Macaca mulatta: one gene and its partner. The protein of the gene in region 1 purifies or fractionates together with the protein of each later gene. This does not show direct contact. Links are inferred from orthologs where the notes say so. Each region holds a gene or a part of one and is shown in the gene's direction. Other genes may lie near its edges. The genes, in order: CUL2 and COPS8.

The links.
Region 2: the proteins of CUL2 (region 1) and COPS8 purify together in Homo sapiens (affinity purification with mass spectrometry; 4 studies listed by BioGRID and IntAct, counting the BioPlex papers as one, with this or other methods). This does not show direct contact. The link is inferred for Macaca mulatta from reciprocal best matches to the Homo sapiens genes CUL2 and COPS8.

Annotation. Positions count from the first base shown.
Region 1 is NC_133414.1:36,435,189-36,439,010, reverse strand, and holds part of CUL2 (cullin-2), read left to right. Parts: intron 1-2,402; coding exon 2,403-2,527; intron 2,528-3,822.
Region 2 is NC_133417.1:142,320,031-142,324,397, forward strand, and holds the start of COPS8 (COP9 signalosome complex subunit 8), read left to right. Parts: upstream 1-1,481; 5' UTR 1,482-1,564; coding exon 1,565-1,642; intron 1,643-2,331; exon of another isoform or gene 2,332-2,396; intron 2,397-2,725; coding exon 2,726-2,796; intron 2,797-4,200; coding exon 4,201-4,249; intron 4,250-4,367. UniProt on the Homo sapiens protein: Component of the COP9 signalosome complex (CSN), a complex involved in various cellular and developmental processes.

The DNA of each region.
Region 1 (3,822 bases):
TAGTAAAGATGGGGCTTCACTATGTTGGTCAGGCTGGTCTCAAACTCCTGAGCTCGTGATCCGCCCGCCTCCGCCTCCCAAAGTGCTGAGATTATAGACGTGAGCCACCGCACCCGGCCCCGTGTTTTTTAAAGCAACATTGATTTCGTAGACCCAGGACAATGTAGTCAAAACACAATAATTTTTTTTAATTCCGGAAGTCACTGTCTTGAAGAGTATGATGGAAAGACTTTAATGGCCAGCAAGACTAATTGTAAAACCTATAGTAATTAAGACAGTGAGGCATTGGCACAAGGACAGACAGATATCACAATAAAATAAGAGACCCCAGAACAACCCATGCATATGTGGCCACTTGATGTAAGGCCAAGGTGGCGCTGCAGAGCAGCAGGTAGAAGATGGTGTTTTCAGCACACATTGCTCAGTCAATTGGATGTCCATTTCGGAAGAAAATGAAATTTGATCACTACGTCAGATACCATATACAAAATCCATTCACTAGAGTTTTTATCTAAATGTACAAGGTAAAAAAAATAACACTTTTAGAAGATAATATCGGAGAATATCTTCATAACCTTGAGATAGGGAAAGATATTTTAAATAGGACACAAAAAGCCCTAACCACAAAGGAACAATTGATCCAGTGAACTACATTAAAATGAAAAACTTTGGATTATTAAAAGGCCATTAAGAGGGAGGAAGATTGCTTGAGCTCAGGAGTTCAAGACCAGCCTGGGCAACATGACAATATCCCATCTCTGCAAAAAAATACAAGCATTAGCCAGGTGGGGTGGTGTGCACCTGTGGTCCCATCTACTTGGGAGGCTGAGGTGGGAGGATCACTCATGCCTGGAAGGTGGTGGTTGCAGTGAGCCGAGATCCTGCCAGAGCACTCCAGCCTGGGTGACAGAGTGAGACCCTGTCTCAAAAAAAAAAAAAAAAAAAAAAAGCCATGAAAACCACTGGATCATCAGAAGACACTTATAGGGTAATGTAGCTGCAATAGCAAAGATTTATATCCAAAATATAAAATGGCCAAAAAACAGACACTGCAGAATAGAAGATACCCAGATGGCCAATAAACATAAAAAGAAATGTGAAGCAGCAGGAGCTTTTCGAACACTGAAGTGAGAGTATAAATTGATGCAACTACTTTGGGAAACTGGCATTGACCGCTAAGTGGGATATATTATGCATATTTTATGATCCAGCAGTTCTACTCCTAAACGTATAACCACCCCACCGTACCTTCTGACCGCCAGTGCCTGGACATATGTACAAAAAGACTTACAGGAATGTTCATATTATTAGTATTTGTAATAGCTCCGTAAACTGGAACGGCTCAAATGTCCAGTAACTGTAGAATAGTACAGTATATTCATACAATGGAATATTATAAAGGAGTGGAAATGAACAAATTAAAGCCAGGTACAACAACATAGATGATCCTTATACACATTTTGTTGAACACAAGAAGCCAGTTGTGAAAGAATTGTGTGATCCCATTTTTATATATAGTTCAAACTCATCTGTGATTTAGAAGTCACAGCAGTGGTTACCTTTGCAGAGGAGCAAGAGTGTGTGATTGGAAGGAGGCATGAAGGGGACTCCTGGGTGTAGGTAATGCCTATTTCTTATCCTGCGTGTGATTACATAGGTGTGTTGTGTGTTCACTTGTAATAATTCAGTAAGATACACACTTATGGTTTGTATACTTTTCTCTGTATGTATGATGCTTTAATAAAACATTTAAAATAAAACCTACTACACTGAGAGATCATTATTTACCTCCCAGTGTTAGAGATCAAAATGTTTGGTAACACATTGTTGGCAAAGGAACTCTCTGCTGTTGGCAGCTGTGGTTAGAAGGATCTGTCTACAAGATTAAACTTTGACACAGTAACCTCACTTTTTTGGGAATTTATATTGCATATATTCTTGCTCATGTATAAGATTATTGATTGTAACATTGCAATATCAAGAGACTGGAAACCACCTAAATTTCCATTAGTTGTTAAGAAATTATAATATATCCACATAATGGAGTACTGTGCAGCTGTAAAATACATAGAAATGCTTTGTGTACTGATAGGAAAAGACTACTAAGTTAAAATGTGTTCTGAAGCTACAAATAATATACAAAATACAGTACACTGTATTAAAAGGGGCAAAGGGAAGAATATATGTATTCACTTGAATTTGCACAAGATATCTTTGGGAAGATGTTAAATAACCACATCCCTTTCCTGTGGGGAGAGGGGCTTGGGTGGCTGGGAGGTGGGCATGGGGGGCTTTTCTCTGGGTACTCTGCACTTGGATTGTATTCCTGCACTTGGATCCATATATTACCTAATAAATGAAAATATTTAGGAGTTAATCCTCAGATGTCTTTTTCCTCTCAGACATGGCAAATATGTACGTCTTACTCCGTGCTGTGTCCACTGGTTTACCTCATATGATTCAGGAGCTACAAAACCACATCCATGATGAGGGCCTTCGAGCAACCAGCAACCTTACTCAGGAAAATGTGAGTTGTGTGGGGAACTGCAGTGTTTTCCTCCTAATCAGATCCATCGTGGAGTCTTTCCTTTGACTTTACTATTTTGAAAGATGAAAGAAAAAGTCTTACCATGCCAACAAAAGAAATGTCTTTATTCAAATGTTTTAAACCTAGAGCTTGTTGGACTCATTTTGGAATTATCAAATTATTAGAAAGCTATTGATGAGATAGGCTGCTGCTTAGCCATACGGAGGTGTCCATTGAACAGTTGTTAACTTTTCACAGAAAAATAAGCTTGCCATTTCTAAGTAACTGTGTTTTTCTGTAATTGGCGTTGATAACATTGTTTGTTGTCATGGTAGTAGTATTAATCAGCGGTAATATAGACAACTTGTAATTTTCCTCCTTTCCATATTCTGTGAATTTGGTTGTCTAGTAAGCAAATTTAGATTCAAATAATCTTCTGTAAGTATATGCTTGCTGCCCCAAATACCGGAAACAATAACCCTCGTGTCCCTAATACTCATCTTCCTTGAGTACTTTACCAATCACATGACTGTAACAGTTTGTCTTTCCTATCACCAAATCTTGTTATTACTGGTGACGGTTGATGAGCAAGAGAGACGTAACTTCAACTGTTACTATCTCTTCTTAAGTAGAGCTGTTTGACTTAATCTGTAAGGTAGTATCTGTCACGCCTGTAATCCCAGCACTTTGGGAGGCCGAGGCGGGCGGATCACGAGGTCAGGAGATGGAGACCATCCTGGCTAACACGGTGAAACCCCATCTCTACTAAAAATACAAAAAATTAGCCGGGCATGTTGGCGGGCGCCTGTAGTCCCAGCTACTCAGGCGGCTGAGGCGGGAGAATGGCGTGAACCCGGGAGGCGGAGCTTACAGTGAGCCAAGATCACACCACTGCACTCCAGCCTGGGTGACTGCACAAGACTCCGTCTCAAAAAAAAAAAAAAAAAGATAGTATCTGTGTGTATGTGTGTAGCCGTCACTGTTCAGGAGCACTTTTTAGAGGCTGTTACCTTAGCGACAGATTGGTCTTTGGCAAGTAATAATTTTTAGTTTTTATGTTCTGCCACAATCATGTGTAAGTTTACTATTTTTTAATTTCTTCAAATTCCTTTTACCACAGTTTTCTATTTTTGTAGAACTATTAGTTTGTATTATGCAGATTTATTACTCTGTATTATTTGTCAAACTTACTAGTTTATGTTATTACGTTTATAGATTCCATGTCCAATGACATGGGGCATAGAAGCATAGAATTTTGTGTCAAGGCTGGGAGATGGAAACATAAGTGAATACAT
Region 2 (4,367 bases), on another chromosome or scaffold:
CCCAGCCCACTGACTCAAATGTCGATCTCCTTTGGCAACACCCTCAGGGACACACCCAGGATCAACACTTTGCATCCTTCAATCCAATCAAGTTGACGCTCAGTATTAACCATCACACATATCATATCTTTTCTTATTCGTGCACTTCTTTATATTAAACACCTGATTATGCCAAAAGGCCAGTCCATGGTCCTTTTGCCTTTCAGTCCTTCCTTACTCAGGAGTGAGTCCCAGGTCGAGAGTGGAGGTAGAATTCGTGCATATAAAGTGCGATGAAAACAGGTAAGTTCACTTTGTGCAGCGTGGTTCTGGTAAAAACAAAATACATACGCATGTATAAGCTATGAAGTACAAATTGTATCATTTCTGTGATTCCACATATGAGTTCAGTGCACTTATATTAGTATTTAAAACTGGCATTGCACAACGTAAAGATGAATGGTAAACTTCATGCTAACAATTTAAATCTAAATTTTTCTTGGAATGATATTAAATAACCCATAAGAACACTATGAAAAGAGAGAAACTGAGAGGAATGAGAAAGTTTTATATTTTATGACCTTAAAGTCACTTTCCTTCTGTTTTTTGAATAAGGAAGCTCTGCACTTTTTCTCTGAGACCCACAAATTATGCAGCCAGCCTTGCAGCAGGGAACAATCAAAGCCTCTTTCCTGGGGGTCTAGTGAGGGATGTAAAAAACAAGTATGTTAATAAATAATATGCAATATATAATGTTCGCTAACAATCAGTGCTGTGCGAAACTAAAACTGAAGAGGCCAGGATGGCTACAGCAAGCCGGGGGAGAGCTGAGAATTAGCCGTAAATTCTGAGCGACGGGAAGGGCCCTGGATTTTAGGGCGTTGTGCATAAGAGTAACCAGATCTGCTCTACGTTTCAGGAAAGAAAAAAAAATTCCCTCTGGCTGCGGTTCCGAGAATAGCCCGGAAGGAGGCAGGGGTCCCGGCTGCAGAAGCGTGGTTCCGGAGTGGGGGGTGTGCGGGGCGGGCCCGGGCGGGAGACGCTACCCAACAAGCAGGTTTGGGGAGACTCGAACCTTACATTCCGAGTTTTTAAGCTTGTCTCCTCAAAGCGGGGAACTCACGAACGTTTCGTGAGCGCCTACGGTATGCAGGGCACGGAGCGGAGCCCTAGGGTCGCCGACTTGACCAGGACAGCCGAGCAGCTGCAGGATCCGTCGTGTTCCCCAGCAATTTTAATATTTAAAAATGCGCTACTGTTGCTGTTGTTTTCTATATATTGGATGTCTTCGTGAAGAACCCTCAAAAGTGCAACGAACTCCTCCCTGCCAGGGGGCGGCCGTGCGCTCTGAGCACAGCTTCCAGCCAAGCCGGCCAGGTCCTCCAGGGCACCGAGAGAGCCGGCCAGAACGGCGGCGCCCTATCCCGGCCGCGGCAATGTCTGACGGCGCCCCGGAACTGACGATCTGGTACGCAGGGGCGCTCGGCGGCAACGGCGGCTTTAAACGTCATCGCGGGCGCGACGCCCGAGGGACGGTCTGGGGTTTGGCTGTCCGGAAGGTGCGGCGGCGAGACCGGCCGGGAAGATGCCAGTGGCGGTGATGGCGGAAAGTGCCTTCAGTTTCAAAAAGTTGCTGGATCAGTGCGAGAACCAGGAGCTCGAGGTAGCCCTTTGCGTTCCCTGGGAGAAACTGCGGAGTAGTCTTAGGCCCCGGGGCGGCACCAGTTTCCAGGGTAACGGGGTCTGAGGCTCGCGGGCTTTGGGAGCTCGCGGGGCGGGCGCGGGAGGTGGACGTGTGGAGCCCTGACCGTCGCGGCCTGCTGCGACCAGGCCCGGTCTCCCCTAAGTCACCGGGACCTTTTTGTTATATGTCTTCAGCTTGTGATCCCGAAAACCCTGTGCATCTTTGCTCCAGCACCTATCGATAAGCTCATATTAATTAGACATCTTTCATTCCCAGTATCGGGTTGGGAGAGAGTAGTAATGTGGATTTTATTAAAGATCTTGGTATATACACACACACCAACACACACACCCCAAAGCGCACACACACACCAAGAAAGATGTGACCATTGTAACCTTTTCTTAACTCACAGAGCCTTTCTCGTAATGTTGTCAAGTAAGCTTGCCATTTTGTCTTTAGTAAGACAAGTGAAAGTTATGCAGCTGTTAAAGTTAACGTTTTTTTTAGACACTTAAAAGCGTTTATATCATTAGTTTTAAAATTAACTAAAGGAGACAACATCCAGAAGAAGCAGCTCACTAATAGACAATAGACACTTCCCAATTGAGTTAAAATTGAAAGAATTGTCTTTGCAACGCAGCTGTGGTGATTTTCTGTCTCTTATTCAGGACGCTTGATGTAATGGGCAGAATCAGAATGCTTCAGGAATCTGTCGAAATTGTTTCTTATACTAGTAAGATCATTTAAATGGGAATTTGAGAACTGGGGAAGGGGATCCTCTTACATATTCTTGAATGTATAGAGAAACTGAGGCCCAAAGGGAGATAAATCAAAGCTGATGACGAATATAAACTTAATACTTAGGATTTTCGTGTTTAATACTTCTCTAAGCTGTTTCTAAATCTATACTAGGACTATAAGATTATTTATAATCTTAGACTAAAAAGGCTTACTTTTTAATTAGCATTTATAAAATATTATTTCAAAAATGAAAGTTAAAGGGTAAATGAGGTTTTTTAAATTTTGTGTTGTTTTGTTTTGTTTTCATTTTTGGCCTTCTAGGCCCCTGGAGGAATTGCTACACCCCCAGTGTATGGTCAGCTTCTAGCTTTATATTTGCTCCATAATGACATGTAAGTACGTTTAACCTAAAGCCAAGAGCAGCAGGTTTCTCAAAAGTTACATGGAAATATTTCTGCCCTGAAGTAGCACCACCAAACATAGGCACAACGAGCTACCTCTTTTATTATAATAACTATTACATCTATTTCCTATTGAATCATAGCTTAATGAATTATGATTAGGTCGTCATTGTCTTATATATACTTTCTAGAAAACATTTCAATTTATTATGAGAAACTATGTCAGTAAATTCATTTAATCTTTGTCTTTTTAAAATACTTTTATGATCTTTATTTACTTCATATTAATAAAACAAAAGAAGTGGAAAGAGAAGATTGCAGCCAAGAGATTCATTACAAACATGTATGAGATTTGAAAGTTTTTTTAAATTTTTAATTATTCCTATTTCACGTTCACATGGAAAAGTCAGAAAGCATAACTATGCTAGGCCAGGCGTGGTGACACACACCTGTAATCCCAGCACTCTGGGAGACTGAGGCAAGTGGATGGCTTGAGTCCAGGAGTTTGAGACCAGCCTGGGGATTATAGTGAAACCCTATCTGCTCTAAAAATACAAAAAATTAGCTGGATGTGGTTGCGCATGCCTCTAATCCCAGCTACCCAGGAGGCTGAGGTGGGGAGAATTACCAGAGCCCAGAAAGTCGAGGCTGCAGTGAGCCGATATTGCGCCACTGCACTGCAGCCTGGGCAGCCAGAGTGAGACCCTGTCTCAAAAAGAAAGCGTAACTGTGCAAAAAAAAAAAAAAAAAAAAAAATCTCCTATAGTTCTCCTGTAGACTCACTGATCATTCCTGATAAAATTTTATTTTAAATTGTTCCAAAACCTTTCTTTTATATCTTTTTAAAAACTAAATTGAAATTTTTATTACACATGTACGTTTGGTTTTTTATTTTTTGTAAAACTATCATTATATGTTTGTCATAGTTCAAGCCTCCAAACCCATACAAACTCCTGCCTCAGAAGCTCTGTACCCACTGGTAGGAGGGACTGTGACAGGGAGAGAAGTGTTGTGTACCAGGCTTATTGTCAGGGAATGCTGGAGCCTTCATAGTACATAAATTTGTTTACTTTTGTATCCGAATAAATCATTTGGGCTGTTCTATACGTCCTTGTGTTTTTAGTGTGCTGTTGCCTTAATTTAGGATATGGATTATTATTTTTAAAAAGTTCAGTAGAAATGGCAGAATATTACTTTGGTAAAAATATTTCATGTCCTTTTTATCTGGAAAACTACTATTGTTTCCCCAAAACAAATTCATATAACACTAAATTTTACTTTGTGTTATGTAAAGTATACTTCTGAATGTTTGCCTTGGGACCTGATAGTTTTTAACATTTACGGAGATGATTATGTTTTTAATTGATTATTCTTCTTTGTGGTGGCGTAAATTAGGAATAATGCAAGATATCTTTGGAAAAGAATACCACCTGCTATAAAATCTGTAAGTATCCTTTAAACCTGCCTTACTGCTTTAATGTAATGACATTCCCTTAAATGGCAACCTTTTATAAATTTCTGTTTTCTGTCTGACGTCCTAGAAATAGTCATCAAACTAGTAT